Linked DNA regions of Medicago truncatula. The main gene of each other region encodes a partner of the protein of the gene in region 2 in a complex. Links are inferred from orthologs where the notes say so. Each region holds a gene or a part of one and is shown on either strand. Other genes may lie near its edges. The genes, in order: rac-like GTP-binding protein RAC13 and rho guanine nucleotide exchange factor 8.

What was found.
Region 1: the proteins of rho guanine nucleotide exchange factor 8 (region 2) and rac-like GTP-binding protein RAC13 are in contact, whole or in part, in a crystal structure (PDB 2WBL), measured with the Arabidopsis thaliana proteins. The link is inferred for Medicago truncatula from reciprocal best matches to the Arabidopsis thaliana genes ROPGEF8 and RAC2. Residues at the interface, in NP_189105.1 of Arabidopsis thaliana: Lys95, Glu100, Asp101, Met102, Ser103, Lys107, Leu113, Asn117, Ala118, Thr120, Asn121, Leu122, Ala124, Ser125, Glu129, Arg143, Arg217, Asp218, Ser219, Glu220, Lys233, Trp234, Trp235, Gln265, Met269, His325, Leu328, Asp329, Gly383, Leu384; in NP_199409.1 of Arabidopsis thaliana: Phe6, Asp14, Gly15, Ala16, Val17, Pro37, Thr38, Val39, Phe40, Asp41, Asn42, Phe43, Ser44, Ala45, Asn46, Asn55, Trp59, Asp60, Ala62, Gly63, Glu65, Asp66, Tyr67, Asn68, Arg69, Leu70, Arg71, Pro72, Leu73, Arg76.

The regions. Positions count from the first base shown.
Region 1 is NC_053045.1:42,628,597-42,644,258, forward strand, and holds rac-like GTP-binding protein RAC13, read left to right. Parts: upstream 1-7,659; 5' UTR 7,660-7,867; coding exon 7,868-7,966; intron 7,967-8,054; coding exon 8,055-8,142; intron 8,143-8,227; coding exon 8,228-8,337; intron 8,338-8,425; coding exon 8,426-8,489; intron 8,490-8,621; coding exon 8,622-8,686; intron 8,687-8,786; coding exon 8,787-8,852; intron 8,853-8,994; coding exon 8,995-9,093; 3' UTR 9,094-9,351; downstream 9,352-15,662. Other genes in the region: LOB domain-containing protein 2, read left to right, coding at 672-1,478; WUSCHEL-related homeobox 9, read left to right, coding at 12,916-13,242, 13,566-13,759, 13,864-14,162. UniProt on the Arabidopsis thaliana protein: Inactive GDP-bound Rho GTPases reside in the cytosol, are found in a complex with Rho GDP-dissociation inhibitors (Rho GDIs), and are released from the GDI protein in order to translocate to membranes upon activation.
Region 2 is NC_053047.1:40,421,811-40,437,677, forward strand, and holds rho guanine nucleotide exchange factor 8, read right to left. Parts: upstream 7,275-15,867; 5' UTR 6,922-7,274; coding exon 6,636-6,921; intron 6,258-6,635; coding exon 6,141-6,257; intron 5,787-6,140; coding exon 5,632-5,786; intron 5,208-5,631; coding exon 5,133-5,207; intron 4,970-5,132; coding exon 4,694-4,969; intron 4,519-4,693; coding exon 4,201-4,518; intron 3,756-4,200; coding exon 3,333-3,755; 3' UTR 3,064-3,332; downstream 1-3,063. Other genes in the region: probable protein ABIL5, read left to right, coding at 923-1,070, 1,566-1,665, 1,773-1,809, 2,258-2,406, 2,524-2,588, 2,699-2,788; uncharacterized protein, read right to left, coding at 10,228-11,189, 13,126-13,306, 13,449-13,529. UniProt on the Arabidopsis thaliana protein: Guanine-nucleotide exchange factor (GEF) that acts as an activator of Rop (Rho of plants) GTPases by promoting the exchange of GDP for GTP. Active as homodimer.

The DNA.
Region 1 (15,662 bases), on a different chromosome or scaffold from region 2:
GGTTATTCCGGAGATTTGAATATAGTTATATGTGTATGCGCAGACATTTGTATTTTGCCGTTTTATCTATTAACATGGATGCTGTGAGTCTGTTCACAAATTCATCCTTTTTGTTTTTAGCAAATTTGCATTATATCGATGTACTTTATCAATTTAAATGAATAAATATCATTTATTTTTGTCAAAAAAAAAAGACTGTATCAAAAACAAAAACGGTTTGCAAAATATTATTTTTTACAAATATCCAATCAGATTTACTAAAATATATTATTTCCTAATTAAAACGTAATTGAAAATAAATGTGCAATTTTTATAGTCTCATGACACAAAATTATATTCAGGAGAATCTTTTAAATAAGGAACAATAAATAATCAATTGATTAGTTCATAATAAAAAAAAACTTTATTTTTTTGACAAGAATAAAAAAAAACTTTATTATTATTTTTTAAAATAAAAAGACTTTATTTTTTGTAAAAACATTCTTTACTTTTTTAAATATATATATTTTTGGATATATGAAACCCTAGATCTGAAAAGCCCTAATCCTAATTTTTCCATTTCCTTGACAATTAAAGGAGGAAAACCTAGTTGAAAAGAAATAAAAAGGGTTGAAAACTAGCGTTGTTGGCGGCACCGGCAACACCGTAAGAAAAAGAGTGCCATCACAAAAATGATAAACAAAACAGCATGTGCTCCTTGTAGACACCAAAAGAAAAAGTGCATGAAAGATTGCTTCCTTGCTCCTTATTATCCAACGAAGAAGAAACAAGAATACGACCTTGTTCACAAAGTTTTTGGTTACAAAAAGTTGGAAAAAATGCTCAGAAACCTTGATGAACAAGGAAGAAAAAAAGCCATCGAGTCTTTTGATTGGGAAGCAAAGATGTGGAAACAAGACCCAATCAATGGTCCACTTGGTGCATTCACTGAAGCTCAGAATGAAATAGCACGACTACAAAACCTACTCCAACAACAGCAAGACCAAACTGTTCCATCTTCTGACCCCAAATTTATGGGTCTTGCCCAAAATTCATTCTCTTACAATAGTGATGCTGTACCTGTTTCAAGCAATGGAAATTGGTCTTCTTTTGAGGCCCCTTTTGTGGCTAACAACAATGTTGTACATAATCCCTATTTTGAATATCCTTATGGAGGAAATAGCTTTGGAAGTATAGGTGCTTTGCAAAACGAGGAAACAAATTTATTGAACTGTGTTGTTGCTGGTCCTAATGTTTGGCAACCTTCACAACCCAATTATTTGCAAAGTCTTGCAAGTAGTTCTGGGACTAAAGTGACTGTGGATCATAATATTATTACCAATCAACATATGGGAATGCAAGGAGAAGGTCAGCAGCATTCTAAGTATTATTCTTTTGGAAACTGTAAGGAATTCTTTTCACTGCTTTTGTCTCTTGTTGGAATTGATATTTGTGCACCATTTTCTTTGGCATCTTTTTTGTTGAATATAAAGTGTTGACATATGTGTTTTGCTTATCTTATCATCTCAATTTTGTATGCAATATACATTTTTTTAACTAGGATGTGCATATTGTTAGGTTATTTACATATGTCATCGTGAGCTCAGCTCAGTTGGTAGGGACAATGCATAATTATATGCAAGGTTCAAACCCCGACCACCACAAAAAAAAGGGTTATTTACGTATAAATATACCGTGCTTAGGTTAAAGTTGCGAGGGAATTTTTAGGTCCATAATATTAGTTAGGTAGCAAGTGCATCTTTGAACTCACTATTATACTATATCATTTGTACGCACTGTTGTAATTGACTCAAAATGGATGATTGAAGTTTGACAAGAATTGTGACACGATTTGGTGAGATCATGGTGTAATATGGCTCAAGGTTTTGGCTCGACTTTTTTCGTGGCACCAAAGGTGTAGATCGTGATACGATTTAGTGGATAAGTAAATTCATATTGTGTACGAACTTACAAACCATGGCATGATTGAAGGAAATCGTGGCACAATTTTCTCGGGACATGTGCAGTTGGGAACTTTAGGGTAGAGTGTATTTAGTGAGAGTTTTTTCTTGAGTTGAGAAACATTTGTAAGCATCTTGGGTAGTGAGATCTCATTAGAGGAAGGATCTAAAAGTTTTCTTTAGTGTTTTCTCTTAGGATTCATTGTGAGTGTGAGTGACTTGAAAAATGGATAGAAATTATGATTTGTTCTTTGTGAGCTATTAAGCTAATTTCTTGTAACCTCTTTGTACCCTTATCATAGTGGATCAGAGAGCTGCTATCTCCTTCATAGTAGGTCATTTTGGACCGAACTGGATAAACAATGTATGCGTGTTGTTTTCTTTCCCTTTATTTCTTATCTTTGTTGCTTTGAATATGCTTTTGGTGGCTTCACACTTAATTAGATCTAGGTATATTTGTTGTTGTTGTTGTTGTTGCTGCTGCTGCTGCTGCTGCTACTTGAGGTTACTTTGCTCATCTATTACTACTTCCATATTGCTCCGTACATCTAAATTTTATTGGTGTGATTATTTGTTCGAATTCACAACACACACAATTAATTTTAACATGTACTTTTTAATAGATTTTAGGAATGATAATTGAATTGAGGCTCGTTGAGTACTCGCAAAAAATAGCCATGAAAACCAACATTATTTTATAAGAGCAATCAACCAATGAGTGTGTGAGGGTCTGGGTACATATACCTTAGTACCTTCCTCGCGTTATGGAGTTGAGTGATAAGCAGTTTAAGGGTTCGATCTCTATTTTTAGTATATTTTTTTTCCTTGTGAATCGGACATCCTATGCACCCAACTGAAAAGACAAATCTCTCGATTCAGATAGGACCACAATTGATGACAAAACTCTCTCTCAAGAGATTTAACACTATTGTATTTTCAGGATTGAATTCAAACCTATGGCCTTTGACCAAACTCAAAGAAATGTCTTACCATCTAATTCAAAGACTCCTGGGCCTACTCCTAGTATATTGCTAACAATATTAACGTTGGTGGTTTTAAAAAAAAAATTTGTCGGTCTAATTACTAAATTTTCCTTCTTGTTTCTATTTATATCATTGGTTGACAGTAATATGTACAATTAATGATTGATTTTAAATGAAAGATTTTTCTATCATGTGCAAACTTGCATAAAATAAGAAGGCAAAAGTGATAAGTTTATGTTGAAACTTATACACTTTATATTAAATACATATATAACTTTGTAATGAATAATTGTTGTTTTAATTTTTTTTTTAACCATTTTTAGTTGTCTTAACCTATGTAATATTGCATAGTAACGCAAGATTTCTTGTTGTTAGGCAAAAGAACGCAACATTAAATGGATCTATGACTTATTTTGTGTGTGATTAACTATGACTTATTCTAGCAAAGAAAGCTTGTGAATTTATTATTTCAATGTCTACTCATTGAACATGTTCACAACAACAACAAAAAAATGACAGCTTCACCGGGGTAAATCCCTCAAAATACGTGTTTTCCGATGAATTTTAGAGGACCATAGTGTGTCCGTAGCACAAATCATCGTAAATTTGTTCCGAGGAACACAATGTGCCCGCAAAATGTTTTGAAAACTGAATTAGTTAAATAGCTTGGTTTGTAATGTTTAATGATTCATTTTGAACAAATTTAAGTGGTTTCTTTTTTAGTTCAGTTACAATACTATTTCGTTATTTTTTTTTTAAAGAAGACTAGTTTGTTATTTACTGATTTATTATTGTTTGTTAAAGTGCGAGTGACACGTATGTGTAACAAACTTATGTATCTATATGGTATGAGTGTAGTATTAAAGTTGTTGTCCATGTGGATACAAGTATTTTTATTTTTTTTTTAAATTGTGGCTAGGGACAGGGGCGGAACCACCCCCCAGCTAGCCAGGCTCAGCTCCAACTTTCTTTGTAACAAGTCCAGATTAGGTAGAAGTTTTAGCTTCTCTTACGGATTTACCCAAACTCTATATAATTTTTTGCCCAAACTCTATATAATTCGTGACTCTGCCACTGGTTAGGGAGACAAGCAATATATAGTACCCTCTCCAACTATAGTCTATATTCCTAAATATAATTTGGCTACAACATAGATTAACTTAAAATTAGGATCCATTCTGTCCCAATCAGTTTTACTGTTAAATCCATTTATCTTTATATGAATGAATTTAAACTTAAATTGTTTTAGAATGAATATTTAATTTGAAGCCTGAGAAAAATAAAGAAACAAGGACCCGAGTTGGTCCCTAAAAAGAATAAACTACTTTTGATATTTAGAAATTTAAACCATAATCACATACTTTGATTATGATTTGCACCCTTAAAAAAGGGGTATTCTTCAAGGTGGTAGGGTTGCAGATTGTGTGTGGTGCCTCAAGACTTTAGAGACGAGGAGGATTATTTGTTTTGTACTTGTCAATTTGCCAGGTCAGTTTGGGACCAAATTTTTAAGTGGGTTTGAACGAGAGTGATCTTGCCGGAAAACATCATTTCTCTTTTTGATTATTTTTTCTCTTCCTCTTCGAAATGTTAATCGCGGGAAAGACCTAATGCTAACATGACATACTACTGTATGAAAGATCTGGGAGGCGAGAAATGGTGTTATTTTCTCCGAAAATAATCCAAGGGTAGAAGAATTAGTTGATGCTATTAAGGTTACCTGTGGAAGATGACTTCTTGCTAGGAAGAAAGGGGATCCTTCTCTGTCTTATGAGTGGTTTTCAAACTCTATAGATTGTCTTTTGTTTTAGGTGTTTGTCATTGTAGTTTGGTGGGTCAAGTATCCCTTATACTTCTCCCTATTTGTACTTCTCTCATTTTTCAATAATATTCATTTTGCCGTTCAAGAAAAAAATACATTGGTCCATGTGGTTAACTTGCATAGAATGACCAAATTTTTTATGCTGAGTTGCAGGGACGACCCCAAGCGTAAGCTTGTGCGTGCCATGGCCTCACTAAGGATGAAATTATGCATACAGAGAGGATAAAATTTGACAAAGGTCCGCATTATAACATCAAGTTTAATAATATTTAAAAAACTAAAAGTCTCCCTTCAAATAAATAAATAAAAGGTCTACCTCTCATATTTGTATTATTCGAAAGATGAATGTTTAAAATATTATTTGACTACTTATGTATTTATTGATATAAATTTATATATGCATTGAGTGTAATACTCACAATATTTGGGTTCGTCGTTGGCTCGTTGCTGAGTTGTATCATTAAATTTAATGAATCCGATTTAAATTTCAATCAATAGAATGTAGTATATTTAGAAATGTATGTTTGAGAATATGTTACTAACACTACCAATCTCAGTCTCATGTTGATCCATTCAAAATTAGGTTCAACTAAAAAACTAGGCGCCTTATGCATATGATGGGATATGAGATATTATGAAAAATGCTAGATGTCGCTCTTATATTTATATTCCTTTCTGTCTTAAATTTCATTAGTTACTCCTAATTTATTAGATGAGTTATTGTGTGCATGTGAAATTACACTTGTTTGTGAGGTTTCACAATAATTTTGTTGTTTACAAAGTTTGGTGCGACTTACCTGACAAATTTTACTCAATTTCTTAATTAGATTGACTTGATGATTTTGTACAACGGAGCTGCTGGTTCATGTGTAAGCATTTCTCCACACCTATGTATGGTGTTTTTGTTAGTTTTATTTTTCCCCACATGCTATCTATGTCTAACTCACTGTTTCATTTCATGCATTGATCAAATTAGACTTTGATTTCATTTTTATTTTATTTTTGTGTAGACCTTTTGAACAATGGAGTGAAACAGACAACAGATGAATGATTGATACATGAGAGATAGTTTTTTTTGTATACCTTAGAAAAGAAATTACATCCAATAACTCATTGGAAGTTTTGCAAATTTACATTTTCTACAAACCTATGTGATGTTTAGGAGAGAAATAGTTTTTTTTGTAGCAAGTTTCTTTCTAGTTATTTTAGATTTTAATTTTTTTGGAATATATATTGTTGCTACTATTTTTTACGGCAGCAACTTAAGCATTGATATAGTGTCTAAACTACTTTTATGGTTGCTAAGTTTAATGCGATGATTTTATTCATTTTATCGGAACCTTGACACAGACATGTGTAAATAGTTGAAGAAATTCTATTACGGTAAATGTGAAATGAGTTAGAAGTTCTACATTGTTTAAAAAAAATAGAGGCTGAACATTTTATAAGTGGGAGGACCCACGAACTCATTAGTGTCCGGTTCATTTGTGTGGTTGCTTTTAATTCAATGTGGATGATCCGCCATGCTTCCCTCTATGACCCAACAATGGTATTAAAGTCGACGATTCCACGAATGATGTTCAAGTGACGTGTTCTGTTGAAAGAGAACCAATGGCAGTGCAAGTAAGTGTGTGTGGATGAAAAAGCTTACACTTGAAGGGGAGTATAGTGAATGGAAATCACTCGTACTTGAGAGTGGAGATTGTTGTGGCAAGTGTGAGGTGAGTAAGAATTCACATATTTCTTAAAAAAGTAGAGGTTGAACAATTTACAAGTGAAATGTCCATAAATCTATTATCTTAAAATTTTGGATCAAGATGTGATGTCCAACTCGCTGTTGTGGTTCTCGATTAAATATAAATGATCCCTAACTTCCCCCTATGGTCCAGCATTTTTGATATACTTGTTATATGCCCCAAAAATGTGAAGTGTTGTAGTGAGTTGGATACACGGGAACAATGGAGTCAAGAATCAGAGTGCTTTCAGCTCTCATAACTTTATGATGGTGCACCCATCAATCAATTTTTAGTAATTTTAACATTTGTAATATGTCTTCTTTGTTAAAAAGGTTTGTACATGATAAAAAAACTGAGGTGGCATTGCTTTCCTTCCCTCCATTGCTCTCTTCCACCCATCCTCCGAATATTAACTTTTGATCCTCAAATTTTGTTAACAACGAAAATTGTCATGATAACATTCGTAAAATTATTACTTTTTTTTTTGTCTATATATGGCTTCATGGTAAAATTTTGGCTCGCTTTGCCAGTGAAATTTAACCAAATAATAATTTTGCTTAGGATTCAAATTCAACCTTAACAAAAGCTTCTTAGCCAATTGGTTACCATATTATTTTCCTATGGTTAGAGAGTGTACGACTGAACTGAAATTTCGATAAAATAAATAAATGTAATCAAATCATTATGGGTTTGTAAGTTGCAACGACTGAACTGAAATTTAAATAAAATAAATAAATCAATGCATTAAGAGAATACACAGCATGCAAAAATACATTGCTTAGTATAATGTTTTCCATTGAAGTTTTTGTGTTACAATAAGGTGGAGTAAAAAGCATTAACTTTTTTTGGACCACTCCAATAATAGTGGACCCATGAAGGATAAAGAAACCAATGTAAGCTAGCTCAATCCGTTTAACCATAACCACAAACATATTATAATTAGAAACAAAGACATACCCAACAAACATGTCACAACAAACTTATTTGACTTACTTTACATCATATCATACCTCAAAAAATAATTCCTTAATTTCATTATAATGTATTAGCTAATTAAGCAAAAAATTCTTTGCTTTTCATAATTCATTACCTCCCTTCTCCCACACTTAACCAACTAACTAACACCACCACTATACCTACCTACTTTGTTACCATATCTACTCTTGTCCTTACACTTTAAGAAAAGTAACACTTTTTTATGTACATGATTATAAATTTTGATCAATTTCATGAGCCACAACAACTAAAAGTAGGTAATATAGACTTACTCCTAAGTAGTTAAAGGCTTGCTTAGTCACCCCCTCCTTTAACTTCCATCATAAATATTGTTTCAATTGTTTCTTTGCAACTATAGTTTATGATCTTAAGTTAAGAAAAACAAGAAGAATGAGTACTGCTAGGTTTATCAAGTGTGTAACAGTAGGGGATGGTGCTGTTGGAAAAACTTGCATGCTTATATCCTATACAAGCAATACCTTTCCCACTGTATGTTTCTAAATAGTTCAATTTACATGTAAAAAAATATAGTGATGAATCTAATATATTTTTTTTTCTTTTGATTTTTCTATGATAGGATTATGTTCCAACTGTGTTTGACAATTTCAGTGCTAATGTAGTGGTGGATGGTAGTACAGTTAATCTTGGTTTATGGGATACTGCAGGTTAGTCTAAAGCTTTATTTTTTACTTTTAATATAAATCAATATCAAGTTTTGATGAGGTGAAATTTTGTGTGGATTACTTACAGGACAAGAAGATTACAATAGATTAAGGCCATTGAGTTACAGAGGAGCTGATGTGTTTTTGTTGTGTTTTTCTCTCATTAGTAAAGCTAGTTATGAGAACATTTCCAAAAAGGTTTTTTCCTCTATACATTACCTTATAAGTTAGATTTAGATCTCTATTATTTTTTGGTACTGTAATAACATTTTTAGTTTATTAACAGTGGATATCTGAGCTGAGACATTATGCTCCAAATGTGCCTATTGTGCTGGTGGGAACAAAATTAGGTAAGCTATTCCATCTAAGTAACATTTCAACCACCATTATATTATAAGTTGACAGTAATGAAAATTTCATTTGATTATAGCTTACAGAACATTCAAAATGTCTGATTATGTTTAAATCCTACGTATGCACAGATTTGCGAGACGACAAGCAATTTTTTATCGATCATCCTGGAGCGACACAAATAACAACTGCTAAGGCATGCCGTCGATAAATAAATTATTCATAAAAATTTCTATATTTGAAACCAATATTATTTTGAATGTACAATGGATTTAATCAATGATTGTGGTGAACAGGGTGAAGAATTAAAGAAAATGATTGGAGCAGTTAGTTACATTGAGTGCAGCTCTAAAACACAGCAGGTAAAATTACAGCACTTCTTTTTTGGATTTAACTTTTTTACTGTTTCATATTTTGAAGCAAAAGATGCTACTTAATTCAACTATTATATTCCAATTGTGAAGTATTTTTTTAAGTATTTGTTCTAATTCTTTTTGTTTACAGAATGTGAAGGTAGTTTTTGATGCTGCAATAAAGATTGCATTGAGGCCACCTAAGCCAAAGAAGAAACCACGCAAGACAAGGACATGTACATTCCTCTAATTTGGGGGGTGTGAAAATAATATATAACCACTCCATTTCATTTTCAGATTTATATAGCAGAATTGAAACCATAAGCTTCAATGTTTTGTTTGTGATTTTATAGTATATAGAATGAAAAAAAAGAGTCTTAAGGGTTATGGACTATCTTAGTGAAGAATTATTGAATTAATTATTTTTCTTTTTGTGTCTAGTTGCTCTTGTTTATGTAGTTACTCATATTTGAAGTTAAATTGGGAATTCCTTTTGTATTTCATGATATTCTGATTCCACTTTTAACTTTAAGTTGTTTCTTTCACTTTGGATTGTTCAAATTTTAAACTTAATTAAAGGAACTTTTTGATGACTAATCACTGTGAAAAAGTTAAATTTGAGCGACATTAGCTTGTGGCATTAAACCAACATAAAACTGAATTTCAGAAAATCAAAGTGATTGAATATAAGTGGTTAATGCGTTTATCGGAATGCTGCCTCAATTTTGATGGAAAAAAAATGAACTGGAAATTTGCTCTTTAGGCATTCATGATTTGCTCTTAAGCACCATAAACCGACGAAAATACTCTCAGTAGCAATAATTAACGATTGTTTTGGAGACTTTTTAAAACGGTTGGAACAATTGAAGAAGGAATTTAACGGATTTAAAAAATGTTTAAAGGCTGTTAATTGTCATTTTGTGGTGAACAACACTTAACGGTCGTTCAACCAACGATAATTGTTAAATTAAGCAATTAGAGGGTGACTCATGAGCAGCTTTCAATGAACTGACTAATCGAACGTAGAAGGTGGGTTGGGCTAATCAAATTCAAAGCCTAAACTATTTAAAGTTCAATCCAATCTCTAAAAGAAAATTATTCTTCCTACCCCTCAAATTGTACTCTTACCCCTATAAAGCACATGAAATCCTAATTTTACCCTAAACATGTTAAATATTTTAAAGAAAGGTGGTTATTCATTTGGACTTGGATCCTCTAAGGGTCACATAGCTGTTGCACCGTGTAGCCGTTTGAGGAGATCATTTTTGTATCCATTAGTCAAGACTATAGTTGTTGTGGATGAAATACTTTCCACCCCTTCCAATTTCTTTGCTAGGGATAAAGGCATCAAATTGATGTTCGACCCCAAATCACTTTAGGCTTCATGAATAAGAATCTTACCAATCATGCAGGGTATAACAAAACATCGTCTTTTTATTGGCGTGTCACCTTCCTTCTTCTCTTCACTCTCTACCCCACTTCGTTCAAGCTCTTCCTTGGATCCTCTTGTTTCGAAAAGAAAGTTTTCATAAGCTAAACAAATCCTTGTAATGGACCCAAAATGTCAGAGAATTTGAATTTGTTGTCGCTAATGGACAACTTCTTCGTGAACTTCCCCACATCATCTTTGTTCTGGACTTCTTCTTTAACTCCCGCCTTCATTATATTGGGACTTTCACCTTCCAAGCTAATAACATATGTCCTCACTTCCAACCACCACCATCAACACCCTGCCCTAAAGAAAAAATCTAAGCAACTAGCACCAAATGATTTCCAGACAAATCAAAAGGTCGTCTAAACCTATTACATAAAGGATCACCCTCTAACCACAAATCAATCCAAAACCTCTTTGAATCATCATCACCCACCACTCACAACCCACATCAAATTATCACCATACCAATTACAAACTCCATACCCAAACCTCTTTGAATACCAACTATATCTTTCTATTAAGTTGACCCCTTCTTCCTTTACTCATACCTAGCCGCAAGAACCTGATATCACAAACACCATTTATTCACAAGCACCTTCGAACACCATTTACCGAAAAGGTCCAAATTGAACTCCTAAATTCTACGAACCCCCAAATCTCCTTTCTCCTAATCCAAACAAATTGTGTCCCATTTAATCACATGGATTTTTCTAACATCCTCACATCAACTCCTCTCTCTTCACTGGTTTCCAAACAATTCCTTCTGCTCATTATTATTATTATTTAATCAAACTAACATGTTTGTGTGTATGAAAGAACCAAATCAATGACTTTATAAATTCAAAATTTCAATTGAAACAAATTAAATAGATTTGATATTTTTTTTTTCATGTTTGGGGTGTCATATAAGGAATAAAACCAAACAAATTCATTTTCAAAATTGAACCGTTGAGATCAAAACGAACAATTATATTTGATTATAATGTACTTTATGTTATATTAGTAGTTATTTCTTAGAAAAAAATATTGTATTTCTTTTAATAATTAAATATAGGGTTAATTAAGTTTTTGATCCCTATAAATATATGCGATTTTGTTTTTAGTCCCTATAAAAATAAATCACACTTTTTAGTCCCTACAAAATTTTCTGTTAGTGTTTTTAGTCCCTGTTAAATTAAAATTTAGTTAATTATGCTTAAACTTCTAAATTTTTGAAAGATTTGTTACATACATGTTCATAACATCGTAAGACACTCTTTTATAATTTTTTTTTAAATTTTTTAACATGTAATGAATTAAATATGAATTTTTCTAAAAGCCGAAATTTTAAGATTATATTAATAAAAATTTGGACCTAATAATAAAATTTTAAGTTACTTTTTTGCGGAGGAACTTTATATAATATTCTAAGTAAGTATGTGAAAAATATGTTACAAATTTAAAAGTTTAAGCACAATTAAGCAAATTTTAATTTTACAAGGACTAAAAGTATGTGTTGTTCCCTATTAAATTGAAATTTGTTTAATTATACTTAAAATTTTATATTTTTAAATGATTTTTAACAAACATGTTAAGAAATTATAATAATCTCTTTTATAAAAAATTAGAATTTTTTAACATGTAATGAATTAAATTTAATTTTTTTAAAACGCCAAAAATTCAAGATAAAACTAACGAAAATTTGGACCTAAAAATAAAATTTTGAGCTAATTTATTGTGGCAAAACATTTTATAACGTTTTAAACAAGTATGTAAAAAATCATTATAAAATTTAAAATTTTAAGCATAATTAAACAAATTTTAATTTAATAGGGACTAAAAACACTAACGGAAAATGTTATAGGGACTAAAAAGTGTGATTTATTTTTATAGGGACTAAAAACAAAACTGCATATATTTATAGGGACCAAAAACTTAATTAACCCTTAAATATAAATTTTTCTATTGTAGTTTATGTAATTGTATTGGTTTATAAAATAAGTGTGTGAAATTATTTTTTTACATTTTATAAAGTAAACTCCTTATTTTTTTTAAATCTGATTGAACTGAATCGAAGAATCTAAACTAGCCCACAAAAATTGACACCAAAGAGAATCGATAGACCTTGAGGAGGAGCACCCTCTAAGATCTCAAACCAACACGGTCACCAGTCTAATCCAAATGGGTTTAACGAATAAAGAGTTGGTATATAATTTTTGTGTGAAATATATATGACAAAATATCAAGAAAATGAGAGGAGCAGCTATAGGGACTTGGATTCCATGAATGAATTCATATAATTTAAAAGTGACTGCAAGAGTAATTTTATCCCTAAAAAATGTGAAAAAAAACCTAAATATCAAAGTTTTATTTTATCGTTAACTATTTGATCTTTTTTAATGGTTTAACCATATCTGTTTGATTGTGTGAATTTAAGATTCCAATCAAGTACGGATTCCTAAATTCACACATTTAAGCAATATAGGCAATTAAAAAATAACATAGTTATTATAGAAGTATCGTAATACTCCATAGTTTGTACAATATAATGAACATCTTTCAGTGAATTTTATAATTGGTGAACATTGCATGAGAGAACTCCAAAACCAAAGCCTAGATGGAACCCAAAGCTTGAGCAAGTAGTGTTGTAGGCTAAATATGGTTTGGAGGCAATTCCTTAATAGATTACCCACTAAGTATAATCTAAGCCTTAGAGGTGTGAGGTTGAATTCATCTTTATACTGTGTTGGCGGTTGCGGTAGGCTTGAGACTGTGAACCATATCCTTTTTAATCGTGCTGTTTTATGGTCGATTTGGAGTGAGTCGTTGAAATGGCTCGGTGTTTTGGCTGTTTTTGTTGAAGGAGGATTTGAGCGTCTCATTTTGTTCAAAGGTCTAGTTGCAGGAGGTAAAACCGTTTGTGAGAGGTTGGGAGTGATATTGGTCTCCATTATCTCTTCCATTTGGAATGCTAGGAATGCAAAGGTATTTAAACAGGCTGCTATTAAATGGGAAAAGGGAGCAGATGAATATAAAGTTCTATCTTGAAGAATTATTCAATCAAGATCGACAAGTTTTGTTTTTGGATCTGCGCTCTTCTGTTTCTGTGGAGCATTCGTGTTGGTTCTGTTTTGGTGTCTATTTGATGGCCGCAGGGACTTTCTATCGTGGGAGCTCGAGTTTCAACAAATTCGGTGCATACATACATCAGCTATCACAAGAAGTTAGGAACTATTTTCACAAATTTGTGTCATCCGTTCTAGTCCCTGTGTTGCTGTCTTGAGTTGGTTGCTGTTTTGAATTGATAGGAGGCTTCTGGTTCTGGAGTTGGATTAATCAGCTGCAAGGAATGCGGGATTTTGAACGTGGATCTGGATTGGAGAATTTGCCAAATTTGCTTTGGTTTGATGTATGTTCTATCTGTCATTGAGTTTAGAAGTTTCAGGAAGGGTACTGTGCCATTAGTTTCATCTTATAAAGGTTTACATATGCAAGGCTTTTGGTATTGGTGTAATTAACATTGTACATGTATTCTGATCCTGTTAAAACTTGTGCTAGGATAAGTGTTATAAATAAATTTTTGCTGTTTAAAAAAAAAAAAACAAGCGATGTTGAACCCGCGGAGAATAAGGTTAAAAAGATACATGAACAACTACAAGGGTTTGGACAAGTTGGTGCTGTTAATGTTTCTTACTGGTTTCAAAACCGTAACTCCAGAAGCAAACAAAAGAAAAGAATCTTGTACAACAAGAAACTAAAAACACAACAAAACTCTACTCCGTGTAACTCTCTTCCACAAATCCTCACACCACCACCCAACTCATTTTCCTCTGATCATCAAAAAGCCTCCATTGGATTCTCCAATATTAATGATGTGATGGTGTTGTTGCATGTTTCACCTGCAGGTCTGTGAACCAAAACCACCAAGGTCTCAAGGCAACACCACCAAGTCAATTTAAGTGGGTTAAAAATGATATTTTTACTGTTCATAAGTCCTAACTCAACTGAAAAAATAAATATCGAAATTGTTATGTCGAACGTCGTGAACAGGACTCTAACTCTGACTCCTACATTTGCGTTTGTAAGATTCAAATGGCTATTTTAATTTCATCCGTCTAAAAAAAAGATACCTTTTCTAGTAAAAAAAAAATACTTTTATAATGCAAATAACCTTTTACTTATAATCTTTTTATCGATAAAAAAGATCGTTAATTAATTTTTTATTTTAATTTTTTGTCAAATAACCTAGTGGTTAGAACTCCGACCCCAAATGTAATATATATATGGGATTTGCTAGAACACACCCACTAGTTTTTATGTGGGAGTGTTTTAGCAAGTTATAACTAAAAAGTTAACAAATACAGCTTAAGGTGTATGTTGCTATAACACACCTTCTAACAAAAACAAGTGGGTGTGTTCTAGCAAATCATATAGGCATTTGCTAGGATACACCCACTTAGTTTTTAGAAGGAGTATTTTAGCAATTAAATAACTAAAAAGTGGTTAAATACACCTTAAGGTGTAACTCTGCTAAAACACTCCCACGTAAAAACTAGTGGGTGTGTTCTAGTAAATATATATATATATATATATAATACAATATTTGTATCAACTTAGTCAGATTCATAAAACAACTCGTTACTTAATTTTTGAAATCAATTCGTTACTTAATTTATTAGTCAAGGAAACAAGTATATGAAAACTCCTTAAAAACTCCATAAGTATATAACTTAAGTCAAAAAGGAGAAAAAAGATATATGTATATGAATTGGTAACGGATGAAAATAAATAAGGACTCTCAATGTACCGTAAGTATTTTATAAATTTCAGAGTTCATTATTTAATACAATAGTGAACTTTGAATATTTTTAAGAAATACATAAAATGAGCATTAATGTTTATAAACAATGAAATAATATTTTTTTAAAAGAGTTTTTTCTTTTTTATAAATTGGATATCTTACACGCGCAACTGTAGAGATTAATCCTAAGTTTTGTGGGACTCAAATGGGAAACAAACTCTTCTTAAGAGTTTTAACATTGTTGCCCGTCTAAAATTCGTGTCATCTTATCTAAACACTCTTAGGTAAATTATATCATTAAACAAAACAGTTTACAAATAGTTATTCATTAAAAAGAGTTTGCAAATAAGTTAATCTGAACTCCTTTTTATGGTTATCTTCGAATCATATGCCATTTGCTTTTTGTTATCATGATTGGTGGCGACATTCACTCCTTTATATGTGTGTCATGTAATTTTTTGTTATTTTCCTTTGGCTCTTGGCGACCTCTTGTTAGGTGCCAATTGCCATCTTCTTGTAACAAACATTGTGTAATTCACCACTTTTAACACACCTTGTACAGGGTGAATTGCTCTTGGCATGAACAATATTTTTCATTTTGATT
Region 2 (15,867 bases):
TATTAAGGAAGAGAAGAATATAAAGAAGACTTAATTACCTTCTTGGTCCTCTAACTATTTAATTGGTATTAGATTGGTCATCTAAGTAAAAATTGATTTATTTTGGTCCTCTAAGTTTCTCATTGTTACTACATTTGGTCCTTTCTGTTAGTTTTATTCAAATAAACGTTAGGATTTGTGTTATGTAGGTACCTGTCCTCATGTTTCACACATACATATGAACCATAACAGTTACCAATAATATCAGTCATTATTTAATCATAACACCTTAACAAGGCATAAGACCAAAATGATACTAATAAATAAAGTTAGAGGACCCACATAATACAAACCCTAACGTTTATTTGAATAAAACTAACAGAAAGGACTAAATGTAGAAACGGTGAGAAACTTATAGGACCGAAATAAATCAATTTTTAGTTAGAGGACCAATCCGATACCAATTAAATAGTTAGAGGACCAAAAATATAATTTAGCCTATAACAATGTTAAAGAGTCTCACATCAAATAAAAGATAGTCTAAATATGTGTTTATAAGTGGGGACAATCTTCACCTTACAAGTCAGTTTTGTAGGGTTATGTTAAGTGCAACTATAATGTTTTATCTTTTATGATTTTTAAGACGGTAGCCGAGCATCCGTAAGATCCACTGAATCAATTAAGAATCATTAGACCACCTGATAGGGTTCTGTTAGGTCTAATTGCGATTTGTAAGAAACAAGTTTCATATATTGTTGAAACTTGATGATCATAGTTGTGAGTTTACAATGTCACGTAATTTTCTTGGAATCCAAATCATCATGCTATTATAACTTTAGTGTACTTCTTTTTTAGTACACTTTCTAACTTTAGTGTAAAAGTAAGTTTGTTTGTTAGTTGGACATATTGACCCGTGACATATTGAAATTTGTACATTTTTCAGTGTGATGGATGACACAAAAGAATACATATGCAGAGCTATGGTTACTGTAGTTGATCATCTTGGGAATGTTTCCTCTAATCTTGAAGGTCTTATTTCTCATAAAAATTCATTTTCTGATGCTGAGATACGAATTCAGTGCCTCACACAAGTTAGTGCTATTACTTGCATAAATTCACTTATATGCACAATTATATGTTATATCATTAATCCACATGTAGTATCATGTATCAGTTTGAAGGTATATTCGGTGTCCGACACAAGGTAACACCAAGGATCCCACATTCGTGTTGTGATATTGATGATCGTTCAATCAAGACCAGACAATCTGAAACTTATATGATTTTATAACAATTTAAAATACCGAGCTTGAATAATATACATTGTTCTATCTTGATTGAACGATCATAGATTAGATTAATATTTCGATGATTATTTTAAAATATTGATAAGGGTACTAGTATTTTAGAATATTAATAATGAAGGGGATTAGGTCGATACAACCCTACAATTTCAAGCACAAACTTGATTATTACCTCTTTAGTAACATCATTTTCATAAAATTTAAGTTTCAAATGGGAGAAAAAAATATTAACATAGTTATAGCAAATTAACAACTGTTACTAAAGATGATGCTTTTTGACAGAGACTTTTCACATGTGACCAATATGCTGATAAGGTTGCCCTATCAAATATGCAATGGAGGGAGAAATTGCCAAGATTACATACCAGATATTTATCATCACGTAATATTCCATGTCACCTTTGATTATTTTGATGCATACAACATTTATTTTTTTGCAAATCAATTGCAATGTAATGTTACTAATTCAATGCTGTTTTTCATGATCAGCTCCTATCCTTGAGAGATCAAAGAGTGACAAATTAAGGTACCTCTTGGTTCCTCAATACTCTCATGAATCTGATTATGAGCAATGTTTCACAATATATATTTTAATGGTTTAATTACTTTTTTATCTTTTAACTTAATTTTTAAATTCAATTTGGTCCTTTAACTTTAAAAATTGTCAATTTAATCCCTTTAAGTTAACCATATTAGTAAAAGTTAGACATTTTCATCCAAATTCCCATAAAGGGTGCATCTTATGCTGATGTGACATATTATGTGTAATTACACATAATATGTGACATGGACTTTGACCAGCGAATTGGACGAAAATAACTAATTTACTAACAGATTTAACTTTAGAGACCAAATTAACACTTTTTAGAGTAAATTAAGGGACCAACAAGGTAATTAAGTTTTTTTAATTTTCACAACCAAGAAAAACCATGCTAGATATGACATGCTAAATACATATATTTTATTTGATGCAGTAATTCTAAAAGTGAAGTTCCTTTAAAAAAAGAAGATAAACATATACAGGGGGATTTGCCACTTTACATGTACACTCAGAATCCATGTACAACTAAGAATTTGAAGCCAGCAACTGCAACAGTTAGCAAGCATAACAATTTAGCCTTTGGTAACATATCATGTTCTTATGAAAATATAATGTTATCTTATGTTCTTCTACATAACCATTTTTTTTAGTTGCATCTCTAACATATATTTCTTTCCATCCTAATTAAAACTATGCTAGTGATGCCTGTTCGTGACGGTTTATCAGTGTTAGCAAAAGTTTCGAATCCTGCATTTGATTTCCATGTGAGTTTTCTTCTGAAATGTCTCACTCTCCTGATTCATGCTGCATAAAGAATTTGATTTCTCTTTTAGTCATGGATTTGTAACTGTAATGGCTTAATTATTTATTGTAGGGTACTCCAAAGGTTACGCCGCGTCATAGAAGATCCTTGCATGGAAGCGACATCTTATATCTCATTAAGCGCTCGAAACGAAAACATTGAATAAATGGAGAACATAATTTCTTATCATTTTCATGTGGAAGTTTAGTGTTAATTACATGATTCAAGAATCAAATATGATTAATAAAATATTTGTATTTTGAAGCACTTTCAAACTAGTAGTTGTTTTTGTAGTTTTAGTAGGAAATATGATGATGATTATAACGATGTATAAAAACATAAACCGTTGAACTTGCAACTTTTGAACTAAACAAAATCAAGCTTGCAAAAGTACTTTTCAAAGAGATTTTTACCAAAGTAAAGAATTGTAGTGTTAATCAAACTCCTATTCAAAAGTCTTTTGACCATTTTAACAGTAACATTAGTAGAAGTACTATGAACCTTCCACTATTTTGAAGAAATAAAAGAATTTACAAGTACAGAAATTACACAATAACCTAAGAGACTTTACATAATGTACAAGCTGGTTATGCTGAGAAGAAAAACACACAAGAGATTCTACTACTGCATAACCAAGGTCTTAATCTTTGTGTTTGTTTACATCTGCATTGAACTTTTATAATCTTCCCTTTTTTCGTTACCGATATTAATGTCGCGCGATAGGACTTCTTATAGCATTCAAATATTCAAGCTTGTCCAAGTAATAATTTTTCTTTGGTGTTCCAAGCTTATTCAAAACTTTTTCATCTTTCTCTTTCAAGTCTTCTAAGTCACTTGTAGAATTAGTCCTTTTCAAATCTCCTTTTGTCCATCCCATGAAATCTGAGAGAGTCATTGATGGTGGTGTGTCTGAAGAACTCATCCTTCCTATCCCACTATCCTCAGAGTTTGGAGATGTTTGATCAGACATTGGCAAAGAATCCAATGAGAATCTCCGACTGGATGCCGCCAACGATGGATTCTTTGTCATTGAATCCACATATAAAACATCATCAATCCTTGATAAAACTGTATAAGCCAAGCTTTCTATTACTCTTGAATAGCTCTCTAGAATGGCTTGTCCCACATCCTGTGATCATTTTGGAAGCAGTCAATTTCATCAGTACATGCTAGAATAGCAAACTTGGTTCAAAAGAAAGTAGATACGAGAAAATACAACCAAAGAAAAAAAACAAGATTTGATCACGAAGTTCGACTAGTTGTGCCTATGTCTCCGACTATAGAGTCGTTGCAGTGATTTTCTATAATTCAAACTTAGGGTTAGATATTATAACTCATGATTCAATACTACCATCCAAAGGGAAATCAAGAGCGACCGCCCCACCTATCAGTAAACTATGAGCCATAACCAACATGAATATTAGTCTATGCTTGATTTTGTTGTAGCGAAATTTGATTTCATAAAGTTAATTTCCGTAAGAAGTGAGTTTAATGTAAAGTTATCGGTGTTTGGATAAATTCAGATAAAAGTGAGTCGAACAATAATTCAGATAAGAGTGTAACGTTGTTATCACCTTGTTGTATTGGATTTTGCTGATATCAAGTGAAGACTGTGGAAGTCCTGGAAACTCTTGTTTGATCATCAACAATATTGTTTCTGCTCTCTCTTCAAAGAGTTCTCTCTTCTCCATGCTTATTGCTGAACTCCATGAAGATTTTCCATCTTTATTCATCTTCCTTTTCCATATTACAATAGAAGCTTCAATCCTATTCTTGAGGTCAAGAACTTTATGTTCGGTGGTCATGTCCATTGTTGAGAGGAATTGTCCCGGATCAAAGTATTCCACAGTAATGCACTTATAGATTGACTCACCAAGGCTTTCTCTACCATTCTGACAAAGACATGAAAGAAAATAAAAACTTAGTTACATAAAGATTTCAGCATTATCTCTATACCATACCGTGAGATCATAAAGCGTTTTTTTATAAGCTCTCTCAAACGGTCTCACAAGTGCTTATATTACAAGCGCAAATAAATCAATCTAAACCGACCCTTAATTATATTACCTTAGGGAGAGATTCGATGTAGTTGTCAGGTATCTCCATCTCTGATAGTACTTGAGCATTTATTGCCATGGCTGCTTTAAGTACTTGGTTAACATTGTCTTTCTCGAACTGTATCCATTTCACAGCTACATCTGATAACCCTGTTGGAGGAACTTTAACAATTGGTAGCCACCATTTGTCACTCTTTCTTTGAGTGACAGTGTTACCTTCAGCTTCCTCATCACTTTTTGAGACATACCAGAATTCATTTTGATCTCTAAAGTTGTCCAAAATGTCCTATAATTACATTGCCATAAAGTTAGTCCAAAATTCTAATAGTAATTAAGAAAAAAGTATGTTTGGATTCACTTATTTGAAGTTATATAATGGCATAAGCGCTTATGCCATAAGTGTTAAATTAAGTTGCATATCCAAATAGGGCAAAAATGTAGTTACTTACAAGGAGCATTGCATCAAGCTTGCGCAAGGCTGGAATGTTCATGAGCAGATCGCTTCTTTGCCGAGTTGTCATGATCTACATAATGCCATAATTCATAATATGTTATTATGTGTCACAATAATATAGCCAATGTCGTGGGAAAAATACTTATGCATATAAATTTGCAACGCTAAAAATAGAGCATTATTTTAAGCATTTAAGATACATCATAATTGTTCTCTAGGAGACTCTTGATGATATTCGGATTTCACGCAGTTAGGGATTCTCCGCATTCATGCAGTTGGGACATCAGTAGTCGTTCATCAAGATCAGAGGGTAAAAAAATGCATATTTGATTTTTTTTTTTATTAATTCAAAATAGCGAGGTTAAATCTAAACCGTCCGATCATGATTGAACGCCCACATTGTCCCAATTGTGTGAATGCGGAGAATTCCTGATTGCAGGGGAGCCGGATCCACGATATACATCAATTAAATAATTTTCAAGCTGAGTGTTTACCTCCATGGTTGATCCATCCTTAGCTAACTGTTGTGATGGAGCAAATTCAACAATATGATCAGTCACAGAAAGAAGCCATTCAATTTCTTTTCTCCACCTAGTCTTCCTTTCTTGAGACATTGGCTCCAACTTTGATTGTTCTCCAAAAACAGATGCTACATGAAATCATGAATTTTATAAATCACCAATGTTGTTGTTCCCTTTCATTAAAAAAATTATTGTTTGATTTTAATAGAGTTTAATTTTGATGCATTGTTAGTGTAAAAAAGTTACACTTGACAAAAAGTCTTACTTATCATATGATTAATCTACGTAGTTACGATTAAAGTTTAACATTTTAAAAGATTTGACAATTACGATTTGTTGACGGTGTAAAATATTTACGAATTAAATCCTATAAACCACATGTCATGTGACACATAATTTAGAAAATTCTTCCACTTTTGGAAAATATTTACAAAACCATTTCATTTTCTACCATAAAGATTTGAGGGTAAAAAAGTATATACCTGCAAGGTTTGTTATGGCATTTGACAAAGCCAATGCTGAAGAAACACCATTTCCTGCACCTGACATGTCTTCTCCTAGAAGCAGCTTAGCAAATCTTTCCTTCATCAAGTCAGATTCTGAATCAAAACCATTAAAAAAAGAATATTCAGCAACTTAATTATGTTTTTTCCCTCATGAACACACAAAAAAATCAAATTTTAAAAAATAAATAATTACTTTTAAAAGTTTTCATCCGTTCGTTACATTTTTTTAAATGATAAAAACAAAAATTGCTTCAAATGAGAAATTATTATTTTGAGTAGCTTATCTCGAAAGTCATTTTCCATAGATAATATATATTTTAAAAAAATGATTTTAATTCCGGCTAACAACACAAATTGACTCGATTTTTCTAAAAATTAATCTCTAAATTAAATAATATCAAAACTATATTTTTCTTTTTATAAATCAATAACAAATCTTATGATCTTAAAATGTAGAGAGAAAAATTATACCTGTTGGTGGTGGCTTAGGAGGCATTCTAGCTACAGCTTCTTGAATATGATCATTATTAATATTGAGAGAAACTCCTATTGGCTGAGTTTCCAATGGAATATCACTGGTATATCTTGCTGATTCAAAGCTTTTTGAGTGAACTTTATGATCACTATGATCACTTCCTTCATCATGATCCTTATCAAATAAACCTTGAATATGTTTCCCAGGGATCTCAAACATTTTTCTAAAATGAAAAGACCTTGATTTCTGCATGCTGAATTGGTGATTAAAAGCCCTAACCATTGTTAATTAGACCTTATTTAATGTTCTACCTTTGTTTTTTTTATTAAAAAAAAAAAAAACAAAGGTTCAAAACAATTTGGCTATTGAATCTCTTGATGTAGAATTTGTTGACCTTTGCAATTTTTGTTGTGTTTTCTTCTTGTTTTTTCTTAGAGGAGTTCTTTCTTCTTGTTGAAATTAGTATTTGATCAATTAGATAAAGAAGACAAAAGAAGGGTAATTATGAAAAGGGATAACCCTCCTTCAATCTAATGATGTTAAAGAATGTTACAAAAAAAATTCTAAGATGATATGTTAGATTAATGAAATTTTGTTTGCATGTAAAATGGTTAGGTTTGGTTTCATGATAGAAAGAAATTTGTTGAGTTTGTTTTATGAATGAGTGGATGAGAAGGTTAATACATGAAATTACTAACCATAAATGACAAAGAAAATTATGCATATTTCTAACTATAGTAGTAATTATTATCTCTTATTTTTCTACCATCCCTTTGTACAAAATTTTAAAACGGATTGGAAAAAGAAAAAAGAACAATTAAGTTATTAGTTAGTGGATGAAAAAATTGGCATCTAATTGAATATGCACAACTACCATTTTAATGGTTAAACTTTCTTTAGTTCATTTCATATAAAATATGGATTAATTTCCGGATAGCCAGAAAATGAGATCACTATAATTAGAAGGGAACATGCTTTATTCCAATCCATGTGAGAAATGCTTTATTCCAATCCTTAAAAAATAATTGGGGAAGGTGGTTTGACCATTTTACCAAGATTAAAATGTTAAGCTCTAAGCTTTATATATACGAGTTTGCTAACTTAGACAAAAAAAAAATAAAGATCCAAGTTGGCAAAAATACATAGGATTTTTGGTACATAGCCTATTAACAGTTATATTATATTTTATACCAATGACAGTTCAAGAATATAGTTCAAGCTTATGCACAGTGCTTTAAGTGCAGTTGTTTTGCTAGTAACATTAGGTGGGAAACTTTGAATTTGTCAAAAGGTGTTGGTGGTACAATAATTGATTTTGGTACGTACATCTTTAACTTATTTTGCTGAACCTAGTTATGAGATCATTAAGGAAGCATTCATGAAGAAAATTAAAGGGAATTTAAGAAAGTTTTGAAAGTTTTGCACCTTCAAAGCCATGTTATAATGTGAGTGGAATTTAAGAAATGGAATTACCTGGATTTGGAATTTTGTTTTCAGATGGTACTTTTTGGGATTTTCTTTTAGAGAATTACTTAATTCAGATTGAATATGGTGATGTTGTTTGTTTGTCTATTTTCGTGATTCCTAGCCTTGGTCTGCACCTATGAAGCACAAACACTCTTTGGATTAGGCGTATTTCGGTGTCAGACACGTGTCGTGTCCGACACCGACACATATAATTACATTTAATTATGTGATTTTTTCAAATTATTAGCAGTGTCGGCGTGTCATTGACCGTGTTGTGTCCGTGTCTGTACCCTTGCTTCATAGGTCACTCTGCACTTTCAATAAGTGGAAACTATTAACAACAGAATTGTTGTATATTTTGTATGATATGAAGAAATCAAGACTTGGTTATGCTCCAATGAAGTGTGTTGAAGTTTAATTAACATCTCATTATGATTTTTCTTCGAATTTTTCTAACAACATACGTATCTCATAAAAACTTCAAAAGCATTTGAGAGGCTTCCTAAAACAAACTATTTGAGAACTGAATTGATGCATAATCTATTTGGCACCGACACTTCCGGTTGAAGGCGTGTTTGGTTTTCAACATGCGTCAATATACGACGTATGCCGGTGTCCAACATTGATACAACAGCGATATGTGCTTACATTCAATGGTTCAATTTTCTCAAATTAATGTCAATGTCATGTTTGGATTATATGTAAAAGTCTCAATATATTCTCTTATTGTTCGAAACAATTAGTTGCTGCACATTTCTATTAAACACTTCAACACTTAGTTCATGGGAAAAGAAAAAAAAAGATTGTTACACATTATTGTTTAAGTCAAGAAGTCAACTATGAAGTCAAGAAATGCTCACTCTGCAACCAATTAATAAAGAACATGGCGTTTGGAGGTCGAATTTCGAAGTTTCAGACCTGCTACCTGATGTAGCAGAGTTGCATTCTTATTGTATTAGTATTAGACTTTGTGCTTTGCTTTTTCTTATGTTCACTAAAAATAGCACCGGGAGAATCAATACTGATGCGGGATATTTTCGCTGTAATAATGTAACATCAGCAAACCTGTGTGCGAGAGATGCAACCAGAAGCTTTATTTCAGGCTCGACTACATGGTCTTATTTATACCTTACTAGAAATTAAGCTGGGAGAGGCGTTTGTCATTGCAACTCAGATGCCAAACTGTTTGTTGATTTTATTAGTACTGGTTCAGAAGATCTTACCGAGTATTGTGTGATTCTACGTGAGAGTCGAGGGCTTCTCTATTTTAAGTCCAAATTACGTAGTTCAGTATGTAAGGCCTCAAGCGAACGTATCAACTCATTTCATAGTTCAGTATGTTACCAAGTCACCAAATCCAATCCTCAATCCTACGAGCATTGCGTCGTTTGCAAACTGATCCACATCCACATGCCATTGGACCAAAAAAATTCATGTCAGGTTTTTTCTCTGAATATTTTAGTAGGATCCAACGGAGCAACCTTGTTTTGAGTTTGATCAATACAACTACATGGTAGCTAATATCCGAGTCAATCAAATTTCAGAATTGATGAATGCCAATAGCCTAAAATAATTTCCAATAAGGATTAAAAAGAATCTTATCTAGTGATGAATGCAAATCAAAGTGATGCATTGGAAGATCACCAATCATGACAGGCAATAACATTTATATCATTGAGTCTAGAATAATAAACAATGCAATGCTATACAGGTGCATATATGGTCCTGAAGAATTTGACAAGACATTTGCATTTTTAATCTCTAGTTATGCAGATAAGAGTTCACGATCACGTCATGAACACCACTCGTGCCTGTGTCATCGATAAATAGTATGTGAAAAATAGCAATCCAAACATATTACATGATGGTTCAATTTGAACCACAAAATTTGAACTGCATACCATTCAAATATGCAAAAACTATTGTAAACCATAAAGATTGAATTATTGAAAAGGTAAAAAAAAATTATAATATAATCTAAAGTACACCATTTATTTATTTTTACATAAGACTTCATTGTCACTTAAAACTTCCAAGACATTAAAAAACAGCAAATTAGAACTTAAACATGTTTTAATTCCGTCACCTAATCCTCAAAGCTTTCTTCATCAAACCATGGTGTTAAGTTGAATTTTTTTGCACCAACATCATCCCTCCATTCTTTGACATGGGGAAGATCAGAGTATCACCCTCCTTAACTCGTTTCGCTCTAAGAAAATCATCCCATCCTTCACAAAGAAATTTCTCATTAACATCTCCACCAGAACTCTTCACCTCGCACGGAAAATGTACACCGAACTCCTGATCAATGACATTCATGTAAGGAGGATTGTCGATCAAAAACCTCTTTGAAATTTTCTTTGGGAAATTCAGTACGTTCTTTCCTTTGCTCATGGATTCTTCAGTTACCTTCATTTTCCAAGAATTCAAGTTGTCACCATCCATCTCAATGCGTTCGAAAAACTGGTAAATCTGTAAATATTTTGCCAAATCAGAATCTAATGGAATTAAAGGGTTTCCATTGTTATAGAGATACATGGTGCCGGGTTGAGGAGCCGGGAGGAAGTCGTACTCGTAAGGACAGAGGCCATATCCATATTTCTGAATGGCTTCCTCGATAGTGAGGGGATGAGAGGAGTTATTTGGGTGATCTTCTTCATTAGAATTTTCATTGAGCATTTGTAGAGAAAGGTAGTTATTGTGAGGAGGCTTAATGGGATAGTTCTCCTTGAACAGTTTGAACCTATAGCGTTTATGTTCCTCTGAAGAGTATGTTTTTCCATATTTCTTGCACCAAGTTTCGAAGTGTTCATAAAAGTCGGCATCAGAGACTCCATCGGTTTGTCCAAGGCATCGAATTGGTAGCACCGGTTTATGTCCTTCGATAACTCTGGAAAGTCCATAATCCAATGACCTATAGAATACTCCTACATCATGTGTGGATTTGCAGGGATGAGATGATGAGCGAAGCCTCACGCCGTTGGAGAAATTCATTCTGGAAGATGAAGGAAGCCTCAAGCCATTGGAGAGATTCATTCTGGAGGAAGCATTGATTAACATGTTGAACTCCAAAACCCTAATCTCTGAACAACCAAAGTACGCAATTTAACTAGACCATCGACCTGTGTGCTAAAGCACGGGTCATATGGATGGTAATATTTGACGGTAACAAAATAGTTAGGTTAAGTATAATTAACATAATCTCTTACTTAGGTTAAAGTATAGCGGGACGTGTTACCATTTATAAGTAAGATAAGTAAGAGATATAGCGAGATGGGTTAACGGTTATTCTTTTCTAAAAAAATAGCATCTAATTAGGAACATAATTTTATTTTACTTTAGATAAACATTAAATGCAAAAGTGTGGAGGGAAAAATTAGGTTAAGTATAAGGAGACGGGTTAACATTTACTAGACCATTGACCCATGCTAACACACGGTTCATTTTAAGAAGTAAATATTCACTGTAAAAATAAAACAATGTAGTGCGCTTGAATGTAAAAATTGTCGTGAATCAAAGCATAATGTCAATTACGATAGACTTTGTTATTGTTCCATAATTCTAAGACGCAGTTTATGTTACTTTAACATAACATATAATTTTAAAAGGGAAACTGAAGTTTGTTGACATGCAAATAGTTTCAATAAGTAAGAAAATGAATAGTACACAAAAAAGTCCTACACATTACGGAAAACTTCTTTGTAGACCACATTTGATGCAACATCGGTATAATTGCCGTCCTCGTCATTAATCAATATCTTTAAACCACCCCTCGAACAATACGTGTGAGTAAGATATGATGGTTGAGCAATAAAGAGTATTACTTATCACGATAAGCACAAAATAGTGGAACAAAATTAGGAAATGCCAAACATTTTAGGATAAAGATTAATATGAATAAAATGAAATTAATATTTTTGATGAGGCATTTTTTTTACTTAAGAATTGGAATGTAAATAGGGAGGGCGCGGAACAAATGGATGCACTTGAAGTGGAATAAATTTAGGAAATGCCCAACATTTTAGGATAAAGATAAATACAAATAATATGAAATTAATATTTTTGATGGGGCAGTGTGTTTGACTTAAGAATTGACTTGTAAATAGGGTTTAGGGGCGCAGAACAAATTATTAGGATAGTTGACTCGGGTGAAATGTAGTAGTTACTTAAATGAGAGGAATTAGAATTTTTAGTTTGTTTCCACCCAAAACATATCTTAGAGATGTGGATGAAATCTCTTACTTATTTGAATGAGAGAAATAAGGATTTTAGTTTGTTTCCACCAAAAAGTTACTTTAGATATGTGGATGAAATCTATTGGTTACTTGAATGAGAGAAATTAGGATTAAGATTTTAGTTTGTTTCCACCTAAAAATATTTTAGACATGTGGATGAAATCTTTAGTAGTTACTTGAATGAGAGAAATTAGGATTTTTAGTTTGTTTCCACCCAAAACATATTTTAGAGATGTGGATGAAATCCCGTAATTATTTGAATGAGATAAATAAGGATTTTAGTTTGTTTCCACCAAAAAGTTACTTTAGAGATGTGGATGAAATTTCTTAGTTACTTGAATGAGAGAAATTAGGATTAGGATTTTAGTTTGATTCCACCCAAAACATATTTTAGAGATTAGGATTAGTAATTGTTAGTAATAATGTTACTAAAAGTGTCACCAAAAGATAGTAATTGTTACTAATAATGTTACTAAAAGCTATGCTACTAAAATGCTTCAATAACACAACAATGCTACTAAATATAGTTTGAGGAGCACAAACACAAATATATAAATCAAAAACCAAAGCAAGCAAGGCTAAATTATTTATGAAATTCAAGGGACATTTGCTAAATTCAAAGACAAAAAAATAGATACTTCCAAAACTCTAAGAAACTAAAACTTAAAGTTCAAAGTGGAAAGGTGTTGCACAATTTATCTAAACATGGACTAATTGTAAATAACATCAAGGTAAATGGTATCATGTGACCCAACCATCGGAGCACCCCCTCTGATCTTCACACCTTCACGGAGCCTGCGAGCTTCCACAAACCTATTCCAACGCCGTCCTATCTTGAAGTGTTCATAAGGAAAAGTTTCAAAAGTTAGCTCACACACCCATAAGTTACCGCAATCGTCGATAATATTCACAGTTGTCTTGAGTGTATCAAGCATCTGCGGAACATTGCTGGTGTAAAGTAGAATCTGCAAAATTAGAAATCCATGTAACTTATATCAACTAAACGGAAAAGGAATAAAAGAAGTTAAGGTGGACACGAAAAGTGTATCATACCATGCAACCTTTAGTAACATCATACTCAGTTAATTTTTTTTATAAATCAAGAACCATGTCAGTGATATTGTGACGATAAGCGAGAAGAGATGTTATTGGGGGGAGATAGTCATCGAAAGTTGCTTGCAAATTCATCTTGTCAAGAAGGAAATGCATAGGGGGATCAAAAATCGGGTAAGGGATACTCTTGTGAAACCTATCAGTCAACTGTATATCAAACTGTCACGAAAGAGATTTCGTAAAAGTCACGAATCGCTTTTCATCCCTTTGTGAGAAAAAATGCTCCGTTTACTCTGTCGATCAATACTTCAAACTTGTTGGACTTAGGATCAGTCAATATTGCATAGCGCCCAATTTGATCTCCGAAATCACCGCCAAACATGTTTGGCAAGTATACTGCACCCTAAAAAAATAACAAACAAAAACATCACAAACGTTGATAAAATAGAATGCAAATAATTAAGAATAGGTATATTTCACAAAAAACACATACAACATCAATGTCATATTCAACGATATATGATCTGTATTTCAGTCTCAGCTTGTTGATTGCTTTGTCAAGATCGGAAAGAGGATTTTTCACCAACGGACCTACAAAAGATTGAAAGGTATGGAAGCCATGTTGATTAAGAAATTTCGGTTTAAGAGAAAGGTATGGTTTTAAAAAGAGATTTCGGTTTAGGAGAAAGGATTAAAATATATTGGTGAGGGTTTGGAGGAGGGGAGTTAGGAAATATGGTTTATGGAAATCAATTAGATAGGTAGAAATTTCGGTTTAAGAGAAAAGTATGGTTTTAAAAAGAGATTTCGGTTTAGGAGAAAGAATTAAAATATATTGGTGAGGGTTTGGAGGAGGGGAGTTAGGAGATATGGTTTATGAAAATCAATTAGATAGGTTTTAGGAGGAGTTAAGTTAGGAAATCATGGCTAGGGTTTGAGGAGGGGAATTAGGAAATATGGTTAGGTTTTGAAGGAGGGAAAAGTTGCTAAAATATTAAGTTAAAATTAGGGCAACAAAACTTTGTTTAGGAATAAGAAGATAAGTAAAAGAGAAGAGAGATATAGCGAGACAGGTTAACGGTTATTCATTTCCAAAAAAAATAGCATCTAATTAGGAACATCATTTTATTTTACTTTAGATAAACATTAAATGCAAAAGTGTGGAGGGAAAAATTAGGTTAAAATTAAGTTAAGTATAGCGAGACGGGTTAACATTTATAAGTAAGAGATTGAATTGAATTCCAAAACCCTAATTTTTTTTTGTTACTTTCAAAGTCCTAATATAAAAAAATAAAAAATATGCGGCTTTTTCTCCTTCCAATTATACTTAAACAAATTTCATCGAAAGTTATTTTGTTGATGTCATTCAACAAGATAAAGATTTATATTATATTTGTTATATTATTTTTTTTAAGATTTGTTACATTTTTTTAAAGATATTATATTCGCTATATTGTTCGATATCATTAAAAAAAATAAGTATAGTCTGTTACAATATGAAAGTGTAAAATATATATTATCTATATCTATAATTTTAATCAAAATCAAATTAATTTTAATCAAAATTTCATAAAAATCATTTGTTCATAATATACATGCATTAGTGCATAATAAGAAGAAAATTGGACAAACGGGCACATAATGCCATTCTAAACACTAGTAATAATAATAATAAAAGTGAAGAACCATTTTGGTCCCTGTGAAATTCTATAGGGGCCAAATTAATCCTCAACAAATAAAAAGATCATATTTAGTCTCTTATAATATAAAACCGATACAATTTAGTCTCTGAATTTTTATTTTTATCATTGAACCTACATATGACGTGTACAATTAGCTTAACTATGTGGCGTTAAGTTAACAATGTCAATTAAGTGCCAACTGGGGAATAAAAAGATTTTTTAGGGGACAAACTAGTCTCTCATTTAAAAAACTGAAGCAAAATAAAACAAAAATTTTAGATTTTCATGATAACAGAATGAGTTGTCGTGTTTAAATTTCACATTTTCATGATAAGAGAATGAATTGTCGTGTTTAATACTGAAATATAACAAATGAATTAATTCTCGATTCACGATATGAGAATGGATGGTAGTGTTTAACACATCCTTCTATTTTAATTTCCTGCATTTCGTTGCATGCTTCTCATTTTCATTGACACCCTTTTATTTTTGGCTAGTGACCACAACCGTTTCAAACGGAAAAGATGGCCAATAAAAAGATAAAAGTACCAATTTTATCTCTTAAAATTTAACACACTGTATTTTATATGCTATGAACATAGACCTGATATTTCAATTGATTGTTTTTTTTTTAGGGAATTTCAATTGAATAAGAAACTAGTGTTACCAAACAAGATATCGAGAAATTCAGGAAATCATAATCACTTGTCATCATTTTAAACCAAGTTCCATTGACCCTATTAACAATTACAATCATGGGTAAGTGAGCCATCCTAACTTCCATTGGAAGG